Linked DNA regions of Mus musculus: regions 1, 2, 3, 4 and 5 are each reported to be linked to region 6. Evidence: microRNA targets listed by miRTarBase, many of them from high-throughput screens and not tested one by one. Region 6 holds a microRNA gene; each other region holds the end of a gene's coding sequence.
The links. The annotated mature microRNA mmu-miR-301b-3p reads CAGUGCAAUGGUAUUGUCAAAGC and lies in region 6 at 2,008-2,030, opposite strand. An mRNA with a match to its seed (bases 2 to 7 or 8) in the 3' UTR can be bound and repressed. Matches are read on the target gene's strand: a 7mer-m8 pairs with bases 2 to 8, a 7mer-A1 pairs with bases 2 to 7 and ends in A, and an 8mer does both.

Region 1: the mRNA of Reps2 is a reported target of mmu-miR-301b-3p. Seed matches in the 3' UTR shown: 7mer-m8 at 626-632 and 7mer-m8 at 681-687.
Region 2: the mRNA of Camk2n1 is a reported target of mmu-miR-301b-3p. The part of its 3' UTR that is shown has no 7-base or 8-base seed match.
Region 3: the mRNA of Ywhab is a reported target of mmu-miR-301b-3p. Seed matches in the 3' UTR shown: 7mer-m8 at 3,399-3,405.
Region 4: the mRNA of Pi4k2a is a reported target of mmu-miR-301b-3p. The part of its 3' UTR that is shown has no 7-base or 8-base seed match.
Region 5: the mRNA of Ro60 is a reported target of mmu-miR-301b-3p. Seed matches in the 3' UTR shown: 7mer-A1 at 1,239-1,245.

The regions. Positions count from the first base shown.
Region 1 is chrX:162,412,954-162,418,027 of GRCm38, reverse strand. It overlaps Reps2 (RALBP1 associated Eps domain containing protein 2), which reads left to right. Exons shown (of 18, transcript NM_178256.4): 18 at 417-5,074. The coding sequence ends at 485. Among named protein-coding and RNA genes, the nearest start is that of Reps2, 230 kb to the left of the region's middle.
Region 2 is chr4:138,456,465-138,461,538 of GRCm38, forward strand. Camk2n1 (calcium/calmodulin-dependent protein kinase II inhibitor 1) reads left to right here. Exons shown (of 2, transcript NM_025451.2): 2 at 254-3,662. The coding sequence ends at 324. Among named protein-coding and RNA genes, the nearest start is that of Camk2n1, 3.9 kb to the left of the region's middle.
Region 3 is chr2:164,016,262-164,021,335 of GRCm38, reverse strand. It overlaps Ywhab (tyrosine 3-monooxygenase/tryptophan 5-monooxygenase activation protein, beta polypeptide), which reads right to left. Exons shown (of 6, transcript NM_018753.6): 6 at 2,749-4,667. The coding sequence ends at 4,611. Among named protein-coding and RNA genes, the nearest start is that of Pabpc1l, 6.4 kb to the left of the region's middle.
Region 4 is chr19:42,119,188-42,124,261 of GRCm38, forward strand. Pi4k2a (phosphatidylinositol 4-kinase type 2 alpha) reads left to right here. Exons shown (of 9, transcript NM_145501.2): 9 at 606-3,031. The coding sequence ends at 767. Avpi1 (arginine vasopressin-induced 1) reads right to left here. Exons shown (of 3, transcript NM_027106.4): 3 at 4,088-4,661. The coding sequence ends at 4,502. Among named protein-coding and RNA genes, the nearest start is that of Avpi1, 7.3 kb to the right of the region's middle.
Region 5 is chr1:143,753,484-143,758,557 of GRCm38, reverse strand. It overlaps Ro60 (Ro60, Y RNA binding protein), which reads left to right. Exons shown (of 9, transcript NM_013835.2): 9 at 664-5,074. The coding sequence ends at 816. Among named protein-coding and RNA genes, the nearest start is that of Glrx2, 16 kb to the right of the region's middle.
Region 6 is chr16:17,122,413-17,127,486 of GRCm38, forward strand. It overlaps Mir301b (microRNA 301b), which reads right to left and starts at 2,084; the gene lies at 1,988-2,084. 2610318N02Rik (RIKEN cDNA 2610318N02 gene) reads right to left here and starts at 2,790. Exons shown (of 7, transcript NM_001358255.1): 1 at 2,578-2,790. Mir130b (microRNA 130b) reads right to left here and starts at 1,730; the gene lies at 1,649-1,730.

The DNA.
Region 1 (5,074 bases), not on the chromosome of region 6:
TATTTAATGCCATTCTCTACTATCTTCTGAGCCTATCAAAGCAGACCGAGGCTAAGGCAGGGTTGCAAAGAAAATTTTATCAGGTGTGCTATGAAGTAGGTTAGTTGTACCATGCTCGAAGTGCCATGTGATCATGCTGGAACTTAGCTGCCCATTCCTGTAGCTGAGATGGCTGTTTTGAGGCTTCCACTCTATGTTAACACATATCAGTGCTGAGCAGTACAGTGGCTGAGGTTAGTGACTGGGAATCCCCCACTGTCTAATCCCTAGCATTGAAATCAGTGCCTTTTGGGCCACTTGTCTCCAAGTGTTTGAGGGTTGGTTCTATATTTCCTTTGAACGTGTAAAGAAATAGAGATGAGCCCACGAAATGATGCTTTTTCTTCTTTTTCTTTCTCCTGTTTTGTATAATTTAGGAAGTTCATCAAGAACGGATCGCATTGGAAAACCAATTGGAACAACTTCGCCCAGTCACAGTGTTGTGACATCCTAGAGGCTTGAGTGACAGCAGGTGACCTTGTCTGCCAAGATCTTCCTTTTGAGTGTTTAAGCCCAACTACTTGTCATATATGTCTGAATGTCAAAAGCTGTCAGCAGCACAACACAATCTATATGACTTTCTCTTTTGCACTTCACTTGTGTATTTTACAGTGGTAGTAAAATATGTCTTCAACTGATCATTGCACTTAAAATATTAATACTTCGGAGGATAAAGCAGAAGGGTCATAAGCTCAAGGCCATTTTTAGAAGCTTGTTGGGACACTGTCTCCAATAGAAAGTGAAAAGAGAAGTGTGTGTATAGCTCAGTGGTAGAGTGCTTGCCTGATATACAGGAAGCCTCAGTTTAATCCTAAATCCCATTTCAAAAATATACTTATCATTGGAATTTATCTCCCATTTTAACCACTTTTAGATACTGCTCCTTATTTAAGTTACCCTTTTAGCAGATAATTCGGAGCATTATTTATTTAAAGAATTTATAATTCTACAGTACCTATTAATGCTGTACTTCCAGGATGCTCATGCCCATTTTATTCTTATATGTATGCTACATACAGTATGTTGGTTTCCCGAATAGTGTGCATTCCAGCTGGATAGTCTTAGGCATGATGATAATAAAATCAAAAGCTGGAATACAATTAAAGCATCAGATTTACACTGGCACTGTGCCCTCTACCACTATATGCCAAAAACTGCTTCTGTAGTACCATTTTGATATTATGTCAGTTATACATAATATCTGACTATTGTTTTCTATTAAATATCAGAACCTTACTGGGTCTTTACACCTCTGTGAAGTAGAGAATTTTGGCAATGAACTGTTTAACTTGGCCAATCTAGGCCATCAACCTAGATAACTTAGTCCTTTTCATGTAAATTTTTGTGCAAGCACAATCTACTTTAACTGCCTTGCCTGACCAAATTAAATAAATAGTTGCCAGATCTCTGCTTTTATCCTGCATGGGATAACATCTTTGTAAATGTATAAGCTTGGAAACCACCCAACAAATATTAGTAGCTGGATAGCTACCTATTTGTTGTTGAATCCGGGTATCCAGGCTGAGAAGGGAAGAAAAATAGCCACTAACTCTGCAACAATCCTTGGCTGTTGTCATTGTTGTCTTTATTTTAGGCTGGATTTCAGATGTGTTGCTTCTGAAGACACAATGAAAGAATGCAATCTTCCCACCAGCTACATGACTACTTGTTCTCTGTGAAGTGTACTCTTGGGAAGTATTAACTTTATATACAGTTCAGGGGATCTCAGCTAACTCTAGTGGAAGTGATACAAAGCAAGCTTAAATTACAGAAGCAACTATCCTGTCGAAATGTCGTAATACAGTCCAGCTGAAAGTAGGAAATGACTGACCTGTAGGGTTATAGGGTCCCTGAATCACTGATCTTCAACAGGGCATTTTAATATTAGCATTAGTGTGCACAGGGTACTTTTGAAATGGTTTTGGATAGATTTACAATATGTAAGATTAAGCTGTTGATTTCAATAGAGCTGAGAGCTTTTAGTAAAAATAGGCATTTATTTAATATTTCCCTGTTCCTTTGGCAAGCTTTATCAGTAGCTTAACAACAGAAGAGAAGAGTTCAAACAGATGATGTTTTTTCCAAAGAAAAACAAATTGTTGACTCTCTTCCATGCATATTTTAAGGATTTGAATCTGATTTGATTTGGAAAGTCATGAAACTTGAACAGTTTCTGCATTTCTTTTTTCCTTTGGCTGCCTTTTGTTTGTTTGTTTGTTTGTTGTTCTTGTGGGGAGGGCTCAGGAATGATTTAACCCCCCCTAAGATTATGGTTGGGTCAGTACAGATTCCAGGTGACTTCCTTTTTCCATGTGCCGGGATGGGAGGGCTGTGTTATGATTACAGCATGTTTGGCATTTTGTACATTCAATAGAGGAAAGACTAACATATGCACTTTATCTCAAGATCTTCCAGTGCATATACACTCACGTGGGAGAGCACTTCATATCCACCAAGCAGACATAACCTAAGGAATGTTAGTCCACTGAGCAGTTAAAAAACACTGACATATTGCTTCCCTCATGAAGTAAACGATACAGGGAACTGGTTGAAGAGATTGGAATTTTATTTAGTTGGCTTTGTTTTCCTTAAAGGATAAAACTTGCATTGGACAATCAAGGACAATGAAGCCTCACCAATATATTTCTTGTGGTGCTGGGATCAAACCCAGGACAGCATTCATCCTAGGCAAATGCTGGACCATACCCTCAGCCCATCACCAATATTTTAACTGAGGCATTGCATTAAACCACACACCACACACACACACACACACACACACACACACACACACACACACACACACACACAGTATTTTTAGCTGGACTTTTGATCAGTTGAGTAGTTGCTTATACATAGATTCTTAAAAGAAAATACTTGTGTTTCTATTAAATATACACTACTAAATACATGTTATGTGACTAGTATTTATCCTTTACTTCTGTGTTTTCTTAGGATGTACACTTTTAGAGTTATAGTGCCTGATAATATTTTTTGAGAGCCTTTAATATGATATAGGAAGGCAGATACATTGATATCACTTGTAGAACTACTTTGGAATTTATCTCCATTTTCCACAAAAAGAAGCTTCTTTGATGAAGGAGGAGAGATGAAGAGTTGCTTGTTTTGCAGAATTCTATAGCATGAAGGTTAACCTTGTCTCCATTCATGGGGGTTTAATTGCCCTATTGCTCAATGGTGTTCTTGCATGGGGATTCTCCAGTCCTACAGATGAAAGCAAAGTAGGAAATGATCATGGGCTTATTGGGGCTTTTAGCATCTCTAGTAAGTAGCATACAGCTTTGGCTGGCTTTCTATCCACAAACCTAAAGCAGAGCTTGAATGATAAATAGCAAGAATGGATGTGTAATGTGACAATCAAGGCAGATATTTGTTCTAGTTGGAAAGACGAAGCACTTTATAAGCATCAGACAAGTGTTTGGGACTAATTGAGAAACAAGCCAGCTTAGATGGAAGCTGTGCTGTGTGACTATTAGAACTAGGCAGGACCAGTGCTCCTCTTTTATAGCTAGCATGGGAAAATCCCATCCCTAATAATTGTGGACTCTTGGCCCAGGAATCCACAATAATAGCTAGTGGTAGAATTGGGATGTAGCCTGATTATATAGATTCCAAGGTAGTCCTCTGTCTATCCTAAAAGTAGATTAGAAAGCCTTTTTTATTTATCATGTTGAATTTTATTGACTTAATTGGTCTGTAGATATGAAAGCATCTTCTAAGGAGTTTTAGATTTAGATATTTCTCTCCGCTTTAAAAAAAAATAAAATTTGAGTGGAAATAATGTTATTAAACCATTCTTCTAATGCTTCACTTTTGATGATGCAGTATGTTCCTTTAAATCTTGGCAGAACTTTCTAAAGCTACTGCTTTCAATAGATTCCAGCCGCATATTCCCATGGGCATATTCCCATGCTTTCTCAAATAGACTACTGTGATAAAAATGAACTCAATATGTAGTAGCTTATACTTTTCTCCAGTATATTGTTGGTCACTCACAAATGATTCATTTGAACACATTTTAGGGATAAGTAATCAAAACCATGAACTTTTATTTGACTTCCCACCAATGTCTAAACTATTGTAAAATAGTATGATTCTTTAGCCGTGTTTTGACTGTCTAGTATTTCTAAATATTTCTCTGTATCCTGGATGGTCTCATAACGTTGGCCATAATAGGTACATAATCAGAAGATCACTTAGACAACATCTGATATTAATGTGATTCTTGCATTCAAGACACTTGCAAATGTCTTTTTCTAAGCAGTAGTTAGAAAGAGCTCAATTATAGTATTAACACCTTAAAGCCAAAACATTTGTTCAACACAAACTACCATCACACCTCTGACTTGATATTATCATGAGAATGTGGATGTACAAGTGTAAAAACAGGAATGTACTATCTCTCCTGAGCAGATTGCCTGATGGGATTGACAAGGAGGCTCATTGGGTTGTGGTTTGAACATCGAGGGTGTGAAGAAAATGAAGCAGTGGCTAAAGAAATCTTCTCCTCTCACAAAATACAACACTAGTGTCTTTCTTTTCTCTTTCTAGCTGAATAGTTCTATTTCAAATGTTCCCTTAAAACTCAGACTTCAACACATCAGTTAAATTTGTACTTTAGTTGTGGGTGTTAGAGTTTTTGTGTCATGACTCAGTGTGGTTCACATTCCTAGTGAGAAGCAGAGATCTGGAGGTGTGCAGTCCTCAGCCTCACAGCTTCCTTCCCTTTTCAGCAGGCTGATGGAGACATGCCACCAACATAGACAGGTTGGTCACCGATGGCCATTTTCATAAATATTTCTGTGGGCCATTTTGCTTTGCTTGTTTGTGAAAAGAATTGTCTCTAATTATTTGAACCTCTGAAGAATTGTACACAAGGAGGATCAGACTTTAAAACTATCCATGTGGATTCTGAGAGCTGCTGCCCAGCAGAAGTCTTAGAAATATGCCTTGAAGCAGCCGTTGTGTAATTATGAGCTGGGCAGCCCAGGTATAGTTAGTTTTAGGCTTGTAG
Region 2 (5,074 bases), not on the chromosome of region 6:
TCCCTCTGGCTTGCTCCTTCTTAGAATCCATCTAGGATGAGGGCTAGGCAGTGGGGCAGTTCAGAACCAGGCAGGGAAGGGAGCCTAGGGCAATGGGGCTGTTCACCCTGCTTGGAACAGCCAGCCTTCCTTCCTCGCCCTCCCCTGCACCTCCATAATGGGGATAGACAAAGTATCTGCGACCCCTGGCTAGCCCAAGCTCTCTCACATTTCTCTTCCCCTCCCCCCCCTTTTTTTTTTTTTTTTTTTGCAGTTGTTATTGAAGATGATAGGATTGATGACGTGCTGAAAACCATGACCGACAAGGCACCCCCTGGTGTCTAACTGCCCCAAAGACAATGTGTTGAGGGAAAGAATAAGAAGAGTGGCGGGCTGTGACAGTTACTGACAAAAAGCACGAGGAGGAGGAGGAGGGAGAAAGCACTTTGAAATTTATTAATAGCTTGCTACCTGCGATGAAATCGACAACTTGTGTCTCAAGTCAGGCCGGGAGACAGATGAGGTGGAGAGGAGGAGGAGGAGGAAGAGGAGGAGGTGGAGGTGGTGGAGGTGGTGGTGGTGGTGGTAGCAGCGGTAGCGGTGGCTCTGGGCTCCTCTACAAAAACAAAAGTTAAAAAAAAACACACAAAAAGTAAAAAAATAAAATAAAAAAAATAAAAATCACTATATACACACATATAAAAGAAAAAAGTCTCAGTTGCAGCTATTTGTCAAGATTAATACCTGTTTCTTTTTATATATGGTAAATATTGTGCAATTATAGCTCTGGAGTTTGAACCACTTCCCGAAAGCAGCACCGACCACGTGAAGGTGCTTGCCTTCTCTGCTGATTTGGCTGTTCCCAATGTTTACATAATTTCATCTGTGCACTTGGATGTGACATGCGGTCTAGTCCAGTTTTTTTTTTTTAATGTTGTTTATTCTTGGATGTACAAAAGAAAATTGGGGGCAGGGGAATGACCTCTGTAGATACTGTTGTACTTGGGTCATCTTTGAATGAACCCCATTTTAAAGCAGAAAGTAACTTTTCTACGGACTGATGCTTTGGGAAGGCCCCTTCCTGGTCTTGTTTTCGAGAGACAACTGAAAAGCTTGCGCTTCTTTGTTGCAGTACAGCTCTTTGCCCAGGTTAACACCAACAGTGGGTTTTATATGTCAGAAAGAAGAAGAAGAAAAACAAAGACAAACTTGCTTGAGCTTTTTCTAGCCTCCCTGGGGGCTCTGTTGAGTGAACCCCTCTTTCTTCTTCAATATTGTGTCACTTTATCCATTCTCTTTAATGGACTGTAAAAAAAAAACAAAAACAAACAACAAATGTAATCACAAGAGTGCCAAATATCTTGAACCGCCAAAAGGCATTTTGGTTTCCTTTTGTCCCCTGTGCTCTGAGTCCTGTGTGGGAACACTTGGAGAGTCTTTTCTGTTATTTATAGGGGTTCTCTTAAGGCTCGCCAGCTGCCTGTTTTGCATGGTATTTGCAAAAAAATGCCTCTTGCGTGAGGAATCTTTTACCTTTTTTTTTTTGTTCTTTTAAATTATTTGTTTGCAACTTTGGACCTCAAGAGGTCCCCACCCCTCCCAGTTCCTTCTTTTCTTAATTCTCTATTCTGTATGTTGCACCTTGAACCAGCACACAGGGCTATTTCTCCAGTGTACAATAAAGAACTCTTCCTGTGTCTACTCTTTCGTTAGCCTTGTTTCTCAGGGACTGGAATACAGAGATGGTGGCTTTGGCCTGTAGGATGAAACAGTTTGTGTGCGTTGTTGGGGGGTTATCAGCCAGTGGGCTGGATGGGTCAGGCTATCCCCTAAGAATGGCAGAGTCAGTGGACTTTGAATTTTGCAAATGGCTCCTTCTGGATTCCCTGAGGCTTGCTTGGGCCATCCTGTTGGGTTGGGAGGCCGCCAGTCCTGTGGAGACTGAAGCTGGGAGACTGGACTTGGGTTCAGGTTCTAGCTCTGACTGCCTTACTCTCGGAACTGGAACTTCTGTAAACATCACCTGCCTGATCTGCAGAGACCGATGAACTCAGCTGCTGCCTCTTAGGGTCAAGAAGAGGAGTATCAATCCTCGGCACACCAGAACCTTCCACATTGGGCCGCCGCTAGCATCCACTAAACATCCAACCCGAGACCCAGTTATGGACATACGTGTCTCTACCACTAGAGCCTACTGTTACATGCTTGAGGATGAGTCTGTTCTCTGGGGATGCATGGGGGGGGGGGGAAGTCCCAAAAGTTTCCAAGCACCTGCTGTACCTGCCTCTAATCACCCATTAGGAAAAGTCTGTTGGGCAGGGTGGGGAGGTAGCTCCAGTTCTCTTTAAACTGGAGGCAGTGATGAGGGGTTCAGGTTCTGTAGGGAGAGGACTTGGGAGGAGGGGTTTTGGCTCAAGGAAGAGGTCCTGTGTCCCCACCTCCTTGCCTCCTACCCCTCCCCCAACCCTTGGGATGTTTTGCATGTAGAAACCCCACTGCCTGGAGCTTTTAATGTGTTTGTTTTAAAGCTGTCAGCCAGGGAGTCACAACACAGCTCACAGTGACAGGAGCTTGAGTATGACTCAGACATCAGGTAAGAGTCCCCACGGGGTGGGGTGGGGGGACTGCAGAAGAGGAGCTCCAGGGGGCCCCAGGGAAAGGAGGGCAAATGTCTTATCCCCCTTCTTAAGTCTGACAGCCTCAGCAGGTCCCAGCCTGGGGTTCTTCATCCTGTGGTCATTACTGGGACTGATGGGGGAGCTGGAACTGGCAGTGCCCAGCCTGCGGATGCAAGCGGATGCCAACTTCATTTCCCCAGGCGCACAGTCCTCTTCTTGAATCTGGCTGTCTTCCCTCTTGACCCCAGGCACTCCCTTTTGGACTTGAAGGTCTATAGGCTCCATTAGAGCCAAGAAATGCAATGTACTGCTCCCCTCCCCAGAAGGCCGAGGGGGTTACTGGGGGAAAGGATTAGAGCTAGGGCCTGCTTTTTGTTCAAATAATAATCTGCCGAGAGGGACAGAGGCCAGGCAAGAAGGTAGCTTTAGGGATGTGGTTTCTGGTACTGTAGTCACTGAGTACCATCTCATGTGGTTGTCTCAGCACTTCTAGAAACCCAGTGACATTCACTTACCAGTTACCAAAGAAGCTGAGGTCTCAGGGAAGCAAGAAAGCTTTCCCTGAACACCAGACTCACAACAGCCCAGAAGAATGGGTGGTGTTACCTGGCTGCACAGTAGATAGCGTGTCTCAGAGAGGGTAATTCCTGCCAAGCGCCTCAGTTTGATAGCTGCAGAGGCAGGATTGGAACCCAGAGCCCACCATCTGGGATGAAGATGCAGACAGACTGGCTCTGTTCCGGCTTCAACGGTTGTCCTTCAGCCTTTAAAAGTCCTTGTGTTGGTGTGTCTTCCGCAAGCTCTGCCCATCTCCATCATCCTGCACAACTTGAGACTGCATCAGGGGTCAGAAGGAGGCAGTGTGTGGATGTGGTCAGCCAGCTCCTGGAGCTGCCCCGCGCCCTGGGCCAAGGCTGAAGGTCCATTTTAATAAGTGATGTATTAAAACGTTCCTGCTGGAGGCCACTGGGCAGCAAAGGCAGTGCCTGCCTCAGCCTGGAATGAGTCTGCCTTTCTAGAGACCTCCATTCAGTAGCAAGGAAAATAAATCTCTTAAATATACTATAGTATTGGGTGAGCATTTGTTGAGAAGGTACTTTGGGGACTCTGCAGATAGCAGATATACCATGTGCTGGGTATGTCTGAAGTATCTGGAGAGGGCAGCAATGAATATGGAAAAGGCTATTAAAAGATGGAGGTGGGGGAGGGTGACTCCAAACCTCCAAGCGTGGACCCGGAGCATCCAGGGCTGCGTCCTGCAAACTTAGCTCACTGAATGTTTTCAATAAGCATCCGTATGTATCCCTTGATTCTGCTCCTGTGGCCTACCCAGGCGGATGGGCTGCAGGAATATCAAAGGGATCTTTTCAGGGAGAACTGACAAATTACATTTGAGAACAGAGAAGCTTGAAGAACTCCTGTCTGCCACAGATGGAGGGATGATCCTGGGATGCCCCTGCAGGGAAGACAGCAATTTCTAGGTGTTCAAGGACTGGTGGCAGGTGGATTCAGGACTTAGTTGGTTTAGACTTGAACCCTTTTTCCTAGCTGTGAGTGGGGTGGGGGTGGGGGCATGACTTAAGGTCTTTGGCTTTCTGGTTCTTCTATAAAATAAGGATGGTAAGAAATATCAGGACAGGTTAAATGGGAACTTCTGTCTCCCCAGTATGTGGCCTGATACTCAGATAGGGTATGAGCATCCAGGAAGTACTTCCTATGTGTCAGGCAATGGGTGGCCAAAATCACTGGAGAAGTTCTTATAGTTCAGCATGTTGTGTCTTTAGCGTCTATACTCAAAGACAGACTCTCTTTGGGGGTGGAAAGGGCAGGAGACTACTTGAGGAGATGGGAATGGCTTGAGGGAATCAGTCTTCCTTTCTCGACCTCCATCAGTTTCCCAAGGTTCCTACATAAAGTCGTGTGCTTGCTCCCCAAAGGCAGTGTTTCCGGAAGCCACGCCCCCTCCGTTCCCCCCGCCCCCCGCCCCCCAACCCCCACCAGCACCCAGCCTGCCTGAAGTCTTCCTTCTTTGGATGGGAGCCATGGGGCTGACTTGTCAAGGGGAGGGATCAGCTTAGGCCTCTGCATAGGTCACTTCCTTAGACAAGAAGACCTCAGGCTTCATTTAGTGAGTACTGATTTCGTGCCTGCCTTGTGTTAACCTGGTATAATGAAGAACAAACTAGAGGCTTGTCCTGGGTTCAAAAATAATCGTTCTCCTCCAGGGATGTGAGACTGGGACAGAGGGGTTGTGCTGACAAGGTTTCTGTCAGCTTGACACAAGCTCTCATCATCTGACAGGAGGGAACCTCTGTTGGAAAAAAAAATGTCTCCATAAAATCCAGCTGTAGGCAAGCTCATAGGACATTTTCTTAGTGATGGATGGCGGGGGTGGGGGGGCAGCCCACTGTGGGTGGGGCCCCCCTGGGTTGGTGGTCCTGGGGTCTGTCTATAAGAAAGCAGGCTGAGCAAGCCAT
Region 3 (5,074 bases), not on the chromosome of region 6:
AGAACCCACCACATTAATAGGGGGCAAATAAATCTGCAATTCTCTGTTATGTTCCTCATCTTAGCCACTTCTGCGGGAGGGCTGAGGTGGTCCAATCTTCTTCCAAATGGGGTGAAATCACTGAATCCTCTTCCCCTGCCACGCCAACCCTCTCGCTGGACCGTGTACCCCTTGAATGAGCTAACGCATGGTTTGAAAGCCTTCCCTCCAGAGCAGTGGCTCTCAACCTTCCTAACACTGAAGCCCTTTAAGCGGCTCCTCGTGGAGTGCTGACCCTCAACCATAAAATGATGTCCTTGCTATTCATTTGTTACTGTAATGAATCATAACATAAACATCTGACATGCAACCCCTGTGAAAGGGTCATTCAACCCGCAGACCCACAGGTTGAGAACTGCTGTTTTAGAAGCTCAAAGGCACCAAATTTAGTTTCCAGTCCGCCCAGCTCAATACAAATACTCCATTTGCCCATTAAGCAACCACGAAAAGCTATCCTTGGGCTTGTCCTTCCCCTAGAACCTCTCAGGTGTCTTAACACTCACTCTGTAAGTGCACACTATTCATCACTCAGACCTGCCAGCCTCTCCTGCCTTACAGGTCAGATCCCACTTCTTGGTTTCTTGTTTGTTTTCCAAGACAGGGTTTCTCTGTGTAGCCCTGGCTGTCCTGGAACTCACTCTGTAGACCATGCTGGCCTCAAACTCAGAAATTTGCCTGCCTCTGCCTCCCAAGTGCTGGGACTAAAGGTGTGCGCCACCACTGCCCGGCAGATCCACTTCTTGTACCAGCAAACCCACTAAAGGCTCATACCAGTCCTGGGGGGGTCACTGCTAAACTAGCTTCTAACTCCATCAACTGTCTGATCCAGGTGGTGCATTGTGCACCAATCAATTCCTTTGCAACAAGTTCTCAGTTATACCCTTTTCCAAGAATTTCCATTTTCATCTTAAACGCATTAGTGTGAGGTATCAAATTCTCTGGAATTGGAGTTACAGCTGTGAGCTGCCATGTGGGTGCTGGGAATTGAACCCGCATCCTCCGGAAGATCAGGCAGTACTCTTGACCCCTGAGCTATCTCTCCAGCCTCTAAAGCAATTTTTTTTTCTTCCTTTATGTGTTTTGCCTGTATGTTTGTGTATCATGTGCATGCCTGCTCTGTAGAGGCCAGAAGAGGGCAACAGCTCCCCTTAAACTTGAATTACAGGAAGTCATGATAAGGGAATTCAATAAGGGTCCTCTGAAGTGGTCCCTTATCCACTGAGCCATCTCTCCAGCCCTAACGACTCCCTTTTCAACGCCTTCCAGTTCCAAATATTTGTGGCAATTCCAAGAAATAACCAAGTGTCCTTAATAGTCCACATGAGCTGACAGTCCACAAGGGACCAATTCCCTGTTGTCGCCGACATCAGCCTTTTTCTCAGGAAAGGAAGGGTAATCTCCATTTTCATGACATAGCTCCACCCCAACTTCCCCCATGCTCCACAGCCTCACAGACAAGCTGTTCATCTTTCATCCTTTTGTGGAGGGTGTGTGTTCTATGCACATCATGGTGCATGTGTGGTCAGAGGTCTTCTCTTCTTTCCTCCTGCCATGTGAGGCCTGGGAATCAAACTCGGGTGGTCTGGCTTAGCAGCAGGTACATATTTTGGGTTTGCCCATGAAGCCTTAGGCTTTCTCCATTCAAGTTGTTCAGAGGCACAATAACCTGATTAGCACTTGCCTGTCAGGGCTGTTACTAAGGCCACCTCTGCGTGTTGAGCCATGGACCTTCCCTTCCTCTGCACTCGCAACTCTTCCTGCGGGTTCCACATGTTTAGATCCGAGGTGCATCAGTTGTATAAAACAGTCCTCTACCTCATCCCTCCCTTTCCCCCACTTAACACACAGACAGCGGGTAACATCCATTCTTCCCACTGGAATTCCTTCTTTAGGAAGGGGAATTCTGGACTGGCGGCGTGGCCTCAGCCGCATGTCTTTTTACCTACAGCATGGTCCACTGCAACTGACACTACTGCCTGCTTACAATCCTGACCCACAAATACCTTCCGAGACTGTAACATACTTTCTTGTCCAGCAGCTGCTTGTTTGAGGGGGTATAACACTTACCTGGAAGACCCTATTACAGAGGCAAACAGCCACTTGGGGGTTTCCCTGACACTTGGCTCAGTTATATGTCTTATCACCTATAGGTGGGGCTATTACCTACTTCTTCCAGGCTCATCTTTGGTTTGGTGAATGGAGTATCACAGGCCTTTTCCTAGGGAGACATGAAGACACATCTGTTCATTCCAGATAGGGATGATACTGAGACTGAAGAAAGGATTCCACCCACGTCCAGTTTGGCAAACCAGTTGAGTTTTACTGGGCTACTGACAGGACGGAGCATAGTGGGCTCTAAGGCAGCTGCATCACTGTCAGGTCCCCTGCACCTTTAATGGTCACACCACCAGCAGTGCTGTCTGTGCCTGTCCAGCCCAAGTGCTCATGTGACCTTACGGAACACGCCCCACCCCCTCGAAAAGAAAGGCGAGGGAGGGTCTTGCACAGGCGATCATGGCTGCTCTGGTTCAAGCCGGCAGTGATCACATCCAACTTATCAGAGACAGCCACCTAAGACATCTCTACTGCTGGTTCTAAGGGGTGAAGTAAAAACTATTTACTCTTTAAAGAAGAAGCCAAAATTAAACGGGATGGGAATGGTCCTGAGAACGAGAGGGGTGGCGGTGACACATCAATCCACAGGCAACTAACTGATAAAATGTTTTATTTCACTTTAAGTTTTTACATTTTCCTGATTACTCTGTGTAAGGTGAAACTAGAATGTTTAGACATACACGGATCTAGCACATCAGTAACTGGGGTTTCTTTTCTTTTTTGCTACACTATTTTCACAATCACGGGTGTGCTTGCTAGGCAAATAGAACCACCACAGAAGCAAACATTAGGCAGAATACTGGTAAGGGAAAAAACAAAACAAACAAACAAACAAAAAACCAGAGCAAAGAGCTACCAGATATACAGACAGGCTTGGTTCCACACTCACTACTGCGTTGTCAAGCGCCAAGTATTAACTGCACATTTTTTTTTGTTCAGCTAGAAAGAAGAGATTTTTTTTGTGGGTTTTTTTTTTTTTTTTTTTTGGTTTAAATCAGTGCATGAATTCTTTTCATATTTCAGCAGATGGACAAACAGATGGACTATGTCTACGGCTACATGGAATGTCAAGGTAGAGGGGTGAGACTGTGAGACTGAAGGCCTGGCTGTTCTTGGTTGTCTCGACTGTAGTGTCCATGCAACTTCCCTGTGTTCTAAGGTCTTGTTGAGACGTGTCTGAGCACGAAGCTAGATGAGTACACTGGAGGGTCTGGTGACAGGCACTAACAAGATTGTCAGGGCTGAGTGCAATAGGGGGAAATCATGGAGACTTCAAAATACTTTTGTTTGTTTGTTTGTTTGTTTTGGATGAGTCACACTATGAAGAACAACTGTGCTGAGAACTGGAGGAAGGCAGGGTGGTGGCACTGGAAGGTCTTCTTTCTCAACACCTTAAAGCAAAGCTTGCTCACCCTGTGCTCAACACCCCGCCCTGTCCATACAGTCCTGACTAATACAGGCTTCCAAAGAAAACCACCCAAGGAAGCAGAAAGCTGTAAATTTAAAGAGGGAAAAAAGTCAACAGTCAGAAGGACAGGGCGGAAAGAACGTTAAATTTCAAAGCTTCCACCCTCCAAGCTAGAAGAACCCCAAGACTATGAGTGCTCCTCAGGCGAGAGGCCGCCTCAACACATTATTCTTAAAGAATCATCCAGAAAACTGGTCTGGCCATTTGTAAGATACACTGCTTTCTCTCTTCCTTCCCCCTCTCCTTTAGCTAGGGGGTAACAGCCCTGTTTTCACACGCTGCTAATCAGGAACACACTGCTATAGTAAAGGGTTTAGTCACACAGGTGGTATGAGCACGGGACCTTTTTTTATTGTGGTGACACAGCCCAATTATCGGCCAAAGAAGTTCACTTTCAGGTTTTGAGTTTCCTCAGAAGACACTGCAGATATTTGTGGTCATGAACTTTTGAGTGGCAACAGCCCTGAATGATCAAGGGTTGGTAAGCCCTCAACCACAGGCAGAATTACTGTGAGTTACCAAACTCAGGATGCCGGTGGTCAGCATCTCACCAAGTCCCAGCATCACCACAGAATCTCTAGAACTTTCTGTACAGCTTTACAACAGAATTGTATTTCAGTGACCATTTTGATATCAGATTAAACTTTCCAAGAAGTTACACATAATTCAGGTCTATTTTTCCTACCAGAAAGAGTTCTGCTAAGTTATAAAACCCCATGATCACAGTGTTCAGTTTGTAAAAATTAAACACACAGTAATCCTTGTCAATGTTGATCAAAATCAAGACTTCACAATACCATGGTATTAAGGGACCAGTCTGAGCTTTAGATACAAATACCAGCTGTTCATCCCAGGGACCATCTTTGCAAGGCTTAGGCTGTGAAAAATCGAAAGTCCACATTCGATTTTTTGTTTTTGTTTATCGCACAAAGGGACATAATGTGGAGGATACAAAGTGACACAAACAGATCACAGAGCACAACAGACATTAGTTCTCTCCCTCTCCAGCATCTCCTTCATCCCCCTGGTTTTCTGACGTCCACAGCTGCAAAAGAAAAAGAAACAAAAAGCTGTAATAAAGTTAAGGTCATTCCAAGTTTTCTTCAAGAGGAGGTCCAGTATAGCTTACCTCACTTAATTACCATTGTGAAAAAAACTAAAATGTTTTCCATGTATGGGTGTTGTGCATGTCTGTCTGTGTGCCTTTTGCATGCCTATGTCCTAGGAAGCCATAAGAGAGCACTACATCTCCTAGACCTGAAGTTCCAGGTGGCTGTGGCTGCAATGTGAGGGTGTGGCTCCTCTGGAAGAACAGGCTGAGAACCACTGAGCCATGTTTCCAGGTCCCTCACTCAACTATTCAAAATTCCCTCTTACCACAGACAATGGTGACTGACAAGGCATAAAGTCCAGCAGTAAGATACAGGTACTGTACTTAACAGAGTACAGAGC
Region 4 (5,074 bases), not on the chromosome of region 6:
GTGCCCACTTCCATGGAATGCCTATTCAGATTCCTACTTTCTTAAAAAGAAATTTAGGATCATTTTATTTTATTGTATGGGTGTTTTGCTTGTATGTTTATCTGTACCCCACTTGTATGAATGGTGGCCATAAAGGCCAGGAACAAAGGTCAGATCCCCTGGAACTGGGATAGCAGGTGGTTGTGAGCTACCATGTGGATGCTGGGAGTTGAACCCAGATGCTATGGAAGAGTAATCAGTGCCTTTTAAGTATGAGCCATCTCTTTAGCCCCCACATTTTCAAATTTTCATTTAAAATTATGTGTCTGTGTCTGTGTGTATTTGTGCATGTGAGTGTGGTGACCTAGTATTGCATCAGACGCCTTGGAACTGGAGTTAGAGGTGGTTGTGAGCCACCTGACAGGGATGCTAGGAGCTGAACTCAGATCCGCAAGAGCAGTACTTGCTCTTAGTCACTGAGCTGCCTCTCCAGCCTCACATGCCTACTGTTGGAACTAGCCTGCTTCCATGGTACTTCCGCTGGCATTTGTTTTTGACATGAAGGATGACACTGCAGAGGCAGGCTTAGAATACTAGGCCTTTCACCTTTTCTCTTTTCAATGCAGATCCTAAATTTGACCCAGGCCCTGAAAGACAATAAGAGCCCCCTGCACCTCGTCCAGATGCCACCTGTGATTGTCGAGACGGCCCGCTCTCACCAGCGGTCTGCAAGCGAATCCTACACACAGAGCTTTCAGAGTCGGAAGCCCTTCTTTTCATGGTGGTAGCCCCAGAGGCAGGCAGAAGAAATCCTGCAGGTGACAGGCTGGGAGGAAGCCTGGAGTCCCAGGTTCGCAGAAGCCAGAGAAGCTGGCGGGCGCACAGCAGAGCCTTTCAGAGCCCTTCCTCTTTGCTTGTCACCTCCCTCAGGGCTTTCCTACCCACAGGGAGAAGCACAATGGGGGGACAAGAGTGTTCCTGGACCTTCAGAGTGTTGGGGAGGCTCCTGTCCAGGCAAGGAGCTCAGGCGGCTGAGGAGGAGCCACTCCCTCCTAGCATTTGGTGGCTGGTTGGGAAAGTCCCATCTCTCCCTGACAACCCTCTCCATCCAGGTTACCTAATATATTCTGCATCAGAAACCAACAAAACAAAAACAAAAGAAACAAATTTAAATGCTTGTAGGAAAACCTACATTAGATCCTCTGACATCAGAAGCCCTTAATCTAGAACCTAAATTTGCTCAGACACAGGCGCTCTGATACCTAGCACTTGTTTACTCCATGAACTGAGCGGTCAGAGGTCCATCGCTGGCCCACGGACAGAAGCCATTCCTTTCTGGTTTTGCCAAATTGAGCCTCCTCTTGCCACACTGGTACTGACTTCGTGTGGCAGTGAGCAGGTTCATGCTCTGCTCCTCTAAGGCTCTGCACACAGGCTTTTTCTCTGCCCTGCTGTAACTTGCCCGGCACTCATCTGAGGTGGGAGGGGCTAGCCTTGGCAGTGTGCTCTGCCAGGAGTGGTTGTGTGACGCGGAGGTGATTGACTTGGCCTGGTTGCATGCTGGGTGCTAGGAGGGTTCTGTGGGAGCCTGGCACAGCCTCACTCCTGGTCCTTAGTTGCGGCCTTCCCTACCTTTCTGTTTGGTAGTCTAGTTTCCCCCATTTTAAAATGAGAAGTTCAGTTTGGGTTCTGGAGTGGCTCTCAGTAGGTGTTGTGGGTCAGTAGGTTCATGGGCAGCCAGGACAGCATCTCTGTTCTTCATGTGTTAACTGCTGCTGCCTGGAGAGAACAGGACCGTGTTCTGCCCCCTAACCGGCGTGCCCCTTGGCTCCTGCCTTCCGTCTTGGGATGGTTTCTTCTCAGCTTCTTGAAGAGAGGCCTTCGGACAGTTCCCCAGTGCCTGCCCAGCTCAGCGTGCATCTTCCTGCTTCCATGTCTTCTCCCTTGCCAGGTGTTTGAACCCTTTCTACACCAAAGCAGAGAACTGACTTCAGGAGGGAGTGAAAAGGGGGCCGAGAGGCCGTAGGCAGCGGCAGTGGTCACACCCTGTGCTGTGGACCCTTGAGTGTTCTCACACTCTACAGTTGGTCAGTCAGCCTTGGAAAGAAATGTCCTGAAGGCGTGAAACAACCAAAGACCTGGAGTGAGGAGCACAACTGTGCCTCAGCTGCTTGCCGGGCTCCCACCGCCTAGAGGCAGGGCTGAAGACAGCCTTCTGTCAGGTGTGGCAGGCTGCTCCCTGCCCATTCCAACCCAGGAGCCAGCTTGCTATGGGCTTTCACTCAGCAACATGAATCTCCAAGCACTGGATATGCATGCCCAATGGACAGTCGCTGTTGTTTGCCCCATCTTGACAATCCCATCCAGCCCACGTGGACTCTGGCCTCAGAACCTTGTTTGAGAGAATCTCTCTCTCTCCTCGCCACAGGAGCCAGCAGGGGTCCAGGTGTGTGCCGGTCTTCACAGATGTTTCCACACCAGCCGGGTGGCGAGACTTCCCCCTGGAGTGCTGGAGAGAACTTAGTCCTGCCCCAGACCAGGTTTGCCATCAGGAGGAAATTGGGTCCAATGGAAGAGGGGGCCGGTGCCAGGCCCAGTGGGCAAGGGTGCAGGCAGCCTTACCTGCCTCCCTCCCTCGAAGCTTGTACTCAAGTTGCCTTGAATGTGGACTTGGGAGTGCCAGGAGCCCAGAGTGTCAGGTACTTCAGAACAGCCGCCCCTCTGCCAGCCTTAGGCCTGTCCCCTGTGTCTAGGAGCTGAAGCTGGCTGGTGAGCGCTGCTGCCCTGTTCTTCTAATGCACTGTAGAAATTGTATGTATTGTATTTAAATCAATGCAAATGTATGAATAACAAATCCAGTTCTGACCTCTCTGTCCAGTTTCCTTTGGGGGAAGAAAGACAAGATAAATGCAGTTTTAAGGACAAAGACACATTTCTGTGGAGTTATGGGGACTTGACTCTTGAAAACCAAGTGTTTTCTTAAGACATTTCAAAAACTGACATGAGTCTGCATTGATAAAACACATACTTGCTTTTGGTATGAATATTTACTATAGTGTTTGCCCTGGCTACTTCCTTACAGTCAGAATTCTGGGATTAGGTATAGAGCAGTGGGTTGCAACCCTTTTGGGGGGGGGGGGGCGTTGAATAACCATTTCACAGGAGTCTCCTAAGACCATCGGGAAACAGATATTTACATTATGATTTATAACAGTAGCAAAATTAGTTTTGAAATATGAACAAAGTAATTTGTTGGGGGTCACCACAACATGAGTAGAACTGTATTAAAGAGTCGCAGCATTAGGAAAGTTGAGAGCCACTGGTTTAGATGCAAATTTAGGAGAGGTTGGCTTTTATCCATGGCCATCAGAGGGCAGTCCTGCCGTATAGGATCATCACTGTTCCTGGGGGATGGGGGTTGGCAAGGAGAGGGTCGTGCTAATGAGCACATAGTCTGGAATAATGGGAAGAGCTCTTACTCCTGTGTCATCAGATCTAATATATTCTGCATCAGAAACTCAACAAAACAAAAACAAAAACAAATTTAAATGCTTGTAGGAAAACCTACATTAGATCCTCTCACATCAGAAGCCCTTAATTTAGAACCTAAATTTGCTCAGACACAGGCGCTCTGATACCTCGCAGTTGTTTACTCCATGAACTGAGCGGTCAGAGGTCCATCACTGGCCCACGGACAGAAGCCATTCCTTTCTGATTTTGCCAAGTTGACCCTCTTCCTCCTCCTCCCATCTCACGCCTGTTACATCAGTCCTGACCCTTGATGGTACCGTCTGACAGATGATGCTCCCAGCAACTACACACACTACCTAGGACCCAAGTGCTGCAGTGTGGAGCTGATGTAGGCTGACCTGTCTCCCCTTCCCCTGGTCTGCTCCTTTGGATCAGGCCTATCTGCAGAGACCTCATTTTTTCTTGCACCCTGCCCACCTCTGGAAGAGGAAGCTGTAGTACCAGGATGCCCAGGGCTGTAATTACAGAAGCACAAGCATCCAGCCCAGATCTATGTCCTGGAGAATATCCTGTCCTCCAAACCTGGCTATGTCGGTTTTGGGATTCTCCCCTTCTGTAGCACACTCTGACAAATCTTGATGCAAATGTCTTTATTTTCCACTTAAACAAGTTTCCCTTTTGCACTGGCCTGTGGCACAAAACAGATGGCTGGGTGGTGACATTAACTGTCAAGTTAGTGAGATGCAGAGATGGTGAGACACTGCATTTGAGTGCATAATACTTTTATTCCAGAGGAACGCCATGCAGCCCAGTTACACCTTTAGGTCAGAAAGGCTGATGCGTGACCAGCCTCTATTGCCTCCCTTGGTAAGAAGGACCCACAAGTGCAGAGTCCAACAGATGCTGGCTCTGAGCTGAACTCAGGGCATTCCAATTACCACTTTCTTCTTCACCTACACAGGGCCTGCTCAGATGTCCTTTTTACAACTCCATAAGCCCTTTGGCCAAAGTCCCTGCAGTGTTTGGGGAGGACCTCCCCACCCTTCACCAGTCAGTGTCTGATCTGGTGGAGGTAACCTGTGGGGCCTGGCTTATTCCAGTTCCGGGGGGCTCTAGCACTTGTTCTCCGGGAGTTCCCAGACTGCTCGCTGGAGGCCGTGTCAGTGGTGCTGGCCTGGGGGTCAGACGCTGTAGAACCAGGCTCCGGCACTCTGTGAAAACAAGTGTGTGATAGATAGGTCAGTGTCAGCACAGAGAGCAGGAGGGTCTATAAAAGGGGACGGTCTGCCCCCAAGAACTGTATGGCACCTTTCCAAAACTGAACGTTAAGAGGCTGGGGCTGGATTGGGGGGTGGGACACTCAACAAGTCTCTCCCCACCTTCTTTTTCTCCTTCATAGAGCCCTGGCTGTCTGGAACTCACTCTGTAGACCATCTGCCTCAGACTCCTGAGTGCTGAGACTAAAGGCATGTGCCACCACCGCCTGGCTCCTCCCTACTTTCTCAGCCTGGCTTTTATGGCACTGTGTAAGACAGGCATAAATGACATCAGTTAGTGCAAGCAGTGAAGACTCACTCACCATCTCAGACCGGAGGATCTGTTCAGACTATGAGGGGAAGATCCT
Region 5 (5,074 bases), not on the chromosome of region 6:
AGAGTAGTTGTCTACCATACATGAAGCACGAGGCTCGATCCCCAGCCCTGCATAAGATCATGGTGGTACATAACCTACAGTCTTAGCATTTGGAAGGCGGGGCAGAAGTATCAGAAGTTCAGATCTTCTTCACCTACATACCAGGTTTGCAGTCATCCTGAGCTACATGAAATCCTGTCTCAAAGAAAGTTTATCCAAACAAAAACCTTAATTTCTTAATTATTAAAAAAACATTTTAATAGATTTATTATAATAACTGACAAAACTATACTTTAATTGATTGTTTCTTCCGAAATATTTAGTGATTTTAAATACATACCGAGAGACTGGGAATATAGCTCAGTAATTCAGTGGTAGAGAACTAACCTAGTATGTGCAAGGTCTTGGCTTGGTCCATAGTGCAAAGGATGGCTAAGAAGAATAAAGAGAAACAGATGGGAGGTGGACCAGGAAGTCAGACAGAGAGAGGGGACAGAATTAGAGTTCTGAAGAGCACAATCTATTTACTGTATATATTAAAATTGGAAGTTGGACTTGGTGTAATCCAGCATTTTGGTAGGAGGAACCATGGTTGTTCTAGTCTTAATTTTCAAGGATTTTTTTGTTTGCTTTTCTTGCATATAATTTCATATGTAGTTACTTTCTCTTATATTTTCTCTACAGAAAATGGATATTCCTGCTAAATTGATTGTTTGTGGGATGACATCAAATGGCTTTACCATTGCAGACCCAGACGATAGAGGCATGTTGGATATGTGCGGCTTTGATACTGCAGCTCTGGATGTAATTCGGAATTTCACATTGGATGTCATTTAACCCTGAGTACCAGAATGATCTGAGAGGGGCACTGCTGTAGTGGTTTTCATTGAAAATACACAGCCACTTCCCTGCTAGACACAGTAGTGAGAAATGTCATCAGTATGTGCATGATAGAAATGCACTTTGGCAAGAACAGGAGAAGACAGAAGGAAGGAGACAAAAGTTGAGCCCAAAGGTGCATGTACTCAGCTAGCTCTTGAGAAGTCTTCAGGATACTGTAGCTTCCTCTGTAGAGAACTTCGTTTTAATAGACACTGTACAATAGTGGTGTTTTACTTCACTGAATCACACCTTTGTTCTGAAAGTGTGATACAGAGTATAAGTAGCCTCACATCATGTCACTTGTATGAGAAGTGTTTCTTTTCTTAAATGTCTTCATTGGAAAACGACAGTTTTAATAATGTCCAAATACTCTGAGGTGCACTAGACCATGTGACTGTGATGGAAATGAACCTCACCAGGTAAATTTTTATACAAAGGGGTTTAAAAAAAAAGACATTTGGTTAAACTAAATTATGAATGAATTTTACAAATTCAGAGTTTTCTAAGATCATATGAACAACAGCTTTCTTATTCAATGAAAAAGATGTTTTCCTTCAGATGTTTCATTTGTACTTGTTAGGATTTGTTACTATTTGGGCAAAACAGGGTGGAAATCCCTAAGGGACTTGTTGAGTTTATATAGGCTGAGGAATTTGCTTTGTAGCCTTGTGTTGGCTGAACAACAACAGTGTATCATGTACTTCCGCTTTCCTGGGTGTTTCATGTATGTAACTCCCCTGTCCATAATCCTGACAGTGTAACAATTAAAACTCTACTGTAAAGACATAGATTTTCTGTACCCCTAAAATACCTTTAACTAATTTTCATATTTTTCTAATATTTAGTCTGAAGTCTTTCATATTTTTGCCCCCTATGCATTTTGTGTCTAGTTTCTTTTTTGATAGAGTAGAGAAATAATACAGCAAGCTAGATCCTTCTAGTTCAAAGGCAATTTTAGAGTAGCCATATCAACCAATCAGTGTATGTAGAAAATCTAAGAACTGATTTTGTACAAATTAAACTTCCTTTTCACCATATTAAAATACATTCTTTTCTTGAGCAATTACATGTTTTCACTGGGAAGCTTAGCATGAGAATGGCCTATTGAAACACCAGTAGTTTTTCTCTTGATTCAGTAATGGTATCTAAGGTAGTTTATACTAAAACGCTAATTTTTATGTATTACTCTTTAAATATTAAAGGTTTACTGGGGGCTTATAAACCCTTTCAAAACTAGTATGTGTAGGTTACATAACCTTTTAAGTGTTTAGGGGAGTGAAGTTCTTTTATTTGGGAGAGAAAGGGGCTTTGCTAGTGTGAGGATTTATGTACATATTTTCTTTCCTAAGAAATTTAGTCTCAGAGAATAAGAAAATGTTCCCTTCAGATGATTTGAGTTAATGAAGTTTCATATGTAGCCATTCCTCCTGACAGTAACAAATTTTCAGTGTTATTAGCAAAGATAGTATCAGCTCCAGTTCTAAACACCATTGCTTCTGATGCTGTTCTGGCTTGACCACTGTCACATCTTAACTAATTCTGATACATTAAAGTTTCATGTTCAAGTTGAATTTAAAGCTTTAAACCCTAGTAATTACATGAGATCTATTGAATTCTTTAAACCCAGGATCTAAGTTTTAATATGATCTAACTTATTATGAAATTTACATGCCATATTATATAAAAGCTTTTTTCTTATTTTTAATGCTACTTAGATAATGCTTTTAGGCAAGCAGAGTATATCTAGGAGCTAGTATTTAACCCATAAGGGAAATAAGGGTCACCTCCCGGCAGCCCTCCTACAGTATAGGTAAACCTAATTAAAGAGATTAAAATTGAATACAGAGGCCAAGTGTGGTGATGCATGCCTTTATTCCTGGGAAACAGAGGCAGGTAGATCTCTTAAGTTAGAGGCCAGCCTGCTCTACATAGTGAATTCCAGACCAGCCAGGGCTACATAGTGAGACCCTGTCTCCAAAAAGAAAAAAAGGTTTAAGAGGCAGAGGCAGGCATTTTTCTGAGTTCAAGGCCAGCCTGGTCTACAAAGTGAGTTCCAGGACAGCCAGAGCTATACAGAGAAACCCTGCCTCAAAAAACCATTAAAAAAAAAAAAAAAAAAAAAAAAGTCCCAACAGATAGAAATCTTATCTTCAAATTGCAAAACTTCAGAGTAGAAAGAAAATTTAGAAAAAAATGTATTTGATTGATAACCAGAAACCAGTCTGGATCTTCTGGATGTGTGTGTGATGGTTATTTTGTTTTGTTTTGTTTTGTTTTGTGACAGGGTCTCTCTCCATAGACATAGTCCTGGCTATTCTAGAGCTCACTGTGTAGACCAGGCTGGCCTTGAACAGAGAGCCTCCTGCCTCTGCCTCCCAAGTGCTAGGGCTAAAGGTGTGCAACACTATGCCCAGGGTAAGGCTGGATGGTTTTGGAGAGGGGTCTGCCTCTCTACTCAGCATTCTGGCTTTTAGTCTCTCATCCATGGGACATGTTGACTTTGTAAGAGAAACAGTAGAATTATGAAGCCTTTTACCTAATTTAGACGTTAGGAATTGATTAGGAATTGATGATATGCATGATTACTTTAGGAACCTGTGAATGTGTGTGATTTGTTTGTTTGTTTTGATTTGGAGTAATTCTCAAACACAATTATGTCTCTGCAGCCTATGTTGCTATGGAATCTAGCCACATAGCAAGGCATTATTACCTCATTAAGCATAGGATACCCTCAAGTGGTAAACAAGTTTTCTTTTCCAAATTACCACTAGGGTGACTCTTAAGTAAATAGTACGGAAAATACTGCTTTAAAAAGCAATCTTAAGAAAAGTAAATGTTATTTCCTAGATACTATGTAAATATTTCTAGGATTTAGTTGTTACTAATAACACAAAACACTAATCTTTTCATCTCACTGTTTTTGATTAGTGGATAGTCCACGTATTAAAACTGTTACTTAGTAACTGTTTTCAGGGTGTGTTAGGAAGGGATATGCTAGTAAGTAGAACTACTCCATCCTTTGGAGCTTCTTGGTTTTTTTTTCATGTGCTGTGTCATTATGAACAACCAGTTCAACATATGTGGTAAAATTCTGCTCTCCTACAAATTCATGTATCTTAGTCTCAGATCATAGAAGAACAAGCTGTTTAATATTTACCGAATATTGAGAATGGAAAAGAGGCCTTTCATTACAAGTCCAAACTTCATTTTTAATTATAAACACTAAGATGTCCTTATCCCTGATAAAAAGGATATATAAAAAAATATATTTAAAAAAAAAGAAAGCAAAGCTCATAGTCAAACTAGGACCATGCTATTACTCTTACTATTACTAGCTTATCTATTACTTCCTTACATATTACTTTATTTGAATAACAATAAGTCTACAGCAGACAAACTGACAGGTTGCTTCTCACTTTCCTAGACTTCGACAAGAAAAATTATACCAATGTAAATGTAAGAATCTAATGATCTTTAGAAGCACAGGAAGTGTACATCTAAGCAGGAAATGAAAGCTAAATCATTGTAAATTCTTTGAGTTATTTTCCTGTGACCTAAACATTTTGTCCCAAGGCAAGCAAGATAGTCATCGTGGGTAAAGACACTCACCACCAAGTTTGATGAATGGTTCCCAGTCCCTGGACCCCACAAGGTAGGAGGAGAAACCAGTTCCTGCCGGTTGTCCTCTGTGCCATGGCGTGCATGGGCGTGCATGGGCGTGTAAAAGTGAAAAGAAGTGCTGCTACAGATTTGGTCTGTGTTGTTGTGTGGTGTGCTTGTAGTCAAAGTAACTCAAGATGCAAAATCGTCTTGGATTCCATTGGTTTTGTTAGGGTACAAGTTGTCATCTTAGAGAAATGTCACACAGCCAGAAGGAAGGATCAGCAAAGATGACAGGTTCTTTGTGAGACAAGCCGGTGTTTAACTCAGAAGTTATTGTGTTCTCTTGATACCTGCTCCATCATCTCTTCTTCCATGGAAGATTACTTCTCGCCCATTTTTCTCTTTTGCAAAGTCTTCTCCCATTTTTGCCTTTTATTCCTGTTTGATCCAGTTGGGTAATAAATTGCAGGACCAGAAAATCATCCACAGTCAGGTTTGGGGCGAATCTACTGCAGGTTGTTTTTTTGTTTTATATAAATTTAAGAGTATATTTTTCAGAGTTGGAGAGATGGCTCACTGGTTAAAAGCCCTGAGGGCCCAGGTTCAATTC
Region 6 (5,074 bases):
TAATAGGCAAGTGTTCTACACCCTGAGCCAATTCAAATTCACAGAAGTGACTTAGCCAACCTAAATCCTTTGCGGCCCAGACCTCCCCTGATATGTACATGTAAGATATGTAAGATATGCACATGTAAGATATGTAAGATATGCACATGTTAGGATTCCTAGCACCTCAGGATGGATCTGCTGTGGCAACAGCTGCTGACACACGTCTACCCTAGCCACAAAGGAGTGTGGTTGCTTCTTCCCCATCAAAGCCCTCCGTCAGGCCTGAGACTCATTATGTATCAGAGCAGTCCCCATGGGTGCCAGGACTTGTGGAGCTAGAGTACTATTAAGGCTGATTTTCTCAATCTATTCCCAAAAGGGAATCTGGAAGCCTGGGCCTCCTCTCAAGGAGGCAGGCCTGACCACCTCCTACTAGGTTTTTGTTTGTTTGTAAAAGAGGGGTGGGTGCATTGAAACAGGGCTTTACCATGTAAATATAGCTCTTCTGGAACGTGCAGGGTAGACCAGGTTGTCCTTGAACTCACAGAGATCTACCTACCCATGCCTTCCCTGTGCTGCATTCAAAGGCATGGGCCATTGGGTCTTGCCGCTAAAGGTAACTCTGCAAGCACACTAAGGATCGGGCATCCTTAAAAATTCAGCTCCAGGGCTGGAGAGATGGCTCAGTGGTTAAGAGCACTGTTCTTCCAGGGGTCCTGAGTTCAAATCCCAGCAACCACATGGTGGCTCACAACCATCTGTAATGGGATCCGATGGCCTCTTCTGGTGTGTCTGAAGACAGCTACAGTGCACTCATATAAATTAAATAAATAAATAAATAAATAAATAAATAAAAATGAGCTCCAGCCCTGTCTGGAAAGCAGACATACCAGACACCTCCATGCCTCTCCTACTCAGCACATACCCTCTTTGTAAAGGAGCAAGCAGACATGGCTGGCAGGCCTACTCTGCAGGCTTCTTGTTCCAAGTCCATCCATCTGGCCCAGGCAGGACACTTCTTCTGAGCCTCAAGGTGTGAACCCAAGGTGTGGTTATCTCAGGAAAGGCTGAGTCCAGTTCTTCCCGAGGCAGTCAAGGCTAAGCAAGGTATACAAACCTTTTCCATACAAAGAGGTGAACATCTGTTTCTCTCCACAAGGTCCTGGAGTTCCTAGTTTTGTTTTGATTCTTCAGACAGCTTCAAAACTGAGACAATCTTCCTGCATCAGCCTCCAGACATGGGCTCACCAATCTTTCTTTCTTTTTTAATTGATTAATTAATTAATTAGTTAATTTGGTTTTTCTCAAAACACGGTTTCTCTGTGTATCCCTGGCTGTCCTAAAACTCACTATGTAGACCAGGATGCCCTAGATCTGGGTGATCCACCTGCCTTTGCCTTCCAAGTGCTGAGATTTAAGGCATGAGCTACCTACCATTCACTCACCGCCGCGCCCCCTGCAGCAGACTCCCCTATCTTAACCTGGGGGGAGGGGGCTAAGAGCTTGAGACTGGAGCCTTTCCAAATCTGGGGTCTCCCCTTTGTACTGGTTCCAGCCTTGGAATATGGTTCTCAGCATCCACCTTATCCTTTTAGCTAGAGATAGCTATCTCTATCTAAGACTATGATCCAAGCACTGACCCTTTTGTTCCTCAGGCTCCTTAGCTGGCCCGACAGATGCCCTTTCATCATTGCACTGCTTCCCAGAGGCCCACAGTAGTGCAACAGGGAAAGAGTGTCCAACAAGCCTGTCAGTCTCACGGGGTGGGGCGGGGCATGGGGAGTTGGGGTGGCTGGAGTGGGATCTTAGACCTAGAACGCATGCCCACCTGGGCGGAGCCTCGGCCTGAGCAAAGGATGCCCTCTGACCCCAGAGACACGGGCCTGGCTACAATCTCAAGTTTCCATGGAGAAGAGAGTAAAATGAGCAGGGGGAGGGTACGGCCTGCAGGCCTGAGGGGCCAGGCCTGGAAAGGGAAGAAAGAAGGAACAGTAGGTGAGGTGGTCTTCGAGGCTGGTCCCAGATGCTTTGACAATACCATTGCACTGCTTCTCACAGCACAGTAGTGCAACCTAGTCAGAGCACCCGCAGCCAGCAGGAAATCCATCGCCCTCGCTGCACGCAGGGCTGCGCTGGAAATTCAACCACCATGGGTGGGTGGGACATCTATCCAAGCTCGGAGAACAGACGGGATTCCAGCCCGGATGCAGTCCTCTGGACTTATTAACTTCAGGGAACTCAAACTTTCTCTAACAGGCTTCTGATTCTGGTGAGGTACTCCAAGGAGGGAGCTGAAGGGCGAGCACCCGAGGGGGCTCAAACACAAAGGAGAGAGGCCTGCGCTCAGTTGCAGAGGGGAGCACAGTGGGACTACTTGTACCCTGTTTCAGACCAGAACTAGAATAAGAGGGATACTTCACTCCTTGCACGTGAGGCCCTTGGAGTCCGAGATCCGGTCCTTGGTCCATTCCCCCAGTATGAGTTCTGCACTCTATCCTAACAGATTCTCCTGCCTAGAAGAGCAGAACTAGGGCTTCCTGGCATCTGGAGTTTCCCTGGCCTCACCGCACACCCTATCCCAGACCAGTTACTCACGTGGACAGACACCTCTTGTTCTCACCAGGGGGACAAGGTGAAGCTTAGTGGAAGATCCAGGTAGGCGGCGGCCCCGTCATATCTGGACAACCCCGCACCTCAGCACCTCGTGGCGCCCTCTCTCCCTCGGCTCCATCTTTAACCATCTGACAGTCCCGAGGGCCGAGCCCCGGGCCTCAAGGCACAGCGCCAGCCTCATTGGCTTGCGCCTACACCAAGCTTTGCCTCCTGCGCACCTATTGGCTGCTGCTGGAAAGATTTCAAAATAGCCTCCAGGCTCCGATTGGCCAGGCGCCCGAGTTTTGGCTCCACCGTTTTAACAATGAGTTCTACAAACACTTTCTCCTCATTCATAACTCTTGAAAAGGAGCTCTGTCCGCCTTTTCCCAGCTCATTTCTCTGTAGTTATTATAGTGATACTCATGAGGGCGCGTCCATGCTTACTACACAGCTCACCAAATTAGCGAGGGCTCTGAGATCCCGGCAAAGTGTCCTTTGGCCAAGCCAGCGGTTGAATGAACCCCTAGGGGATGCTTCGTATTTCGCGAGAAATTTGTTCATTGCTCCTCCAGGATGGGACATTTACTTAAAAACCGTGGCCTTCCCTCTTTCTGTCCAACTTCAGAGCATCGTCATCAGGAAACCTCTGGCTGGGCTGAGGAGGCCCTGGCACTTTTTGTAAGTGAAGAAATGCTCTGATGTCATTGATGTCATTGAGAATGTGAACCACTTTATGGGTAAGAGTTCATTAAGTGACCTTTCTGAGCTAATATGTCCAAAGATACACAGCACCTAGCACCCAGAACCTGAGGTGTTCTACTCAGTTCTGTCAGCGAAGGGAAAAACAGAGTTTTGCAGCTGGCGTCTGAGCTTTACCCCTAGTTATATCCATATGAGACAGGGAATCTTTACCCCCCAGCTCAAAGGCTGAAAGAAAATATTTTTAAAGCAGACAGAGCTGGTTTTCGATCTTCAAGAACTCATTTTGTCCACTTAATTTTAAATGTAATTTTTTGTGTATGGGTGCTTTGTTTGCCTGTCTGTACCACCATGTACATGCCTAGTGTTCAGGGAGGTCAAAAGGCTTTCTATCCTCTGCAACTGAAACTATAGAGGATTGTAAGCAAACACATGCATGCTGGAAATGAAACCCATATGCTCTGGTAGAGCAACCAATGCTATTAACACTGACCCATAATATCTCAGTCCCTACATTGTTTTGTCTTCTTTGGGAAAAAAAAGAATGCTGGTTTTTTGAGACATCGTATATCACGGCTGGCTAGTTGAGAACTCACAGAGTAGACCAGGCTAGCCTTGTGCTTATGGTAATCCTCCTAGGTTTTTGCAGTACTGGGGATACAGCCACCACACTGCATCGCTCCACACAGATACAAAATAAAACATCCAGAAATTCCAACATTTGGGAAGTGGAGAAAAGAGCCAGAAGTTCAAGACCAGCCTGAACTACATGAAATACTGTCTTTAAAGAGAGGGGGCTCACCAGAAAGAAGGCTCAGTGGTTAAGAGGGTTGGCTGCTCTTCCAGAGGACTCAGGTTCCATGCCCAGGATCCACAAGTTGTCTCAAAGGCATCTGTAACTCCAGTCCAGTATCGTCTTCTGGTCTCTAAAGCCATTGCATGCATAGACATATGGGCAGTCAAAACACCCATACACATAAAAATAAAAATCAAATGTAAAATTAAAGTGTTTTGCTGCTGCTCCTGTGCTTTTCATTTGTAATGTTTTGCATTCTGCATGGAAGCAACTTTTCTGCTCCATGAGTTTGGGGGCTGGAGAGATTGATGGCATGGCTGTCAAAATCGAGTACTACTCTTGCAGAACTGTTAAAATTGGACTTAAATGAGTTCCCCAGCCATACTAGATGGCTTACAGCCACCTGCAGTCCCAGCTCCAGGAAATCCAACACCCTCTTCTGACCTCTGAGGACACCTAACTCATGTTCATATTCACACACACACACACACACACACACACACACACACACACACACACTTTAAAATGGCATTTAAAAGTTTGGCAATAGATCAAGGCACATTAGTACACATCTTTAATCCTAGTACCTGGGAGACAAAGGCAGGTGGATCTCTATGAATTCAAGGAGACCAGGCTACATAGCGAGTTTCAGATTAGCCAGGGTCGCATGGTAAAACCTGTCTCAAAATAAAAGTTTGTCAGTGGAAAGACCAAGTCTCTTACAGACAGGGGAGTAATGGTCCAAGACATAACTCCCTCCCCTCAGGATTCAAATTGACTACAGCTTTTCTCTCATCCACACATTAGTAAAGTCAACTGATTTCTCAAATCCATGTTATCAGTTCTTCCCACACTATCCCAAGTCCCTCCCAGCCAACTGTCATCTCAGCCTCTTAGGATTTTTCCTGGCCCTCAGGAAATCATCCTACTAGTTCCCCTGAAGTCCTTATGACCTACTCAGTCAAGCCCAGGAAATCTGTCATTCCTTCCCCCACCTCTAGA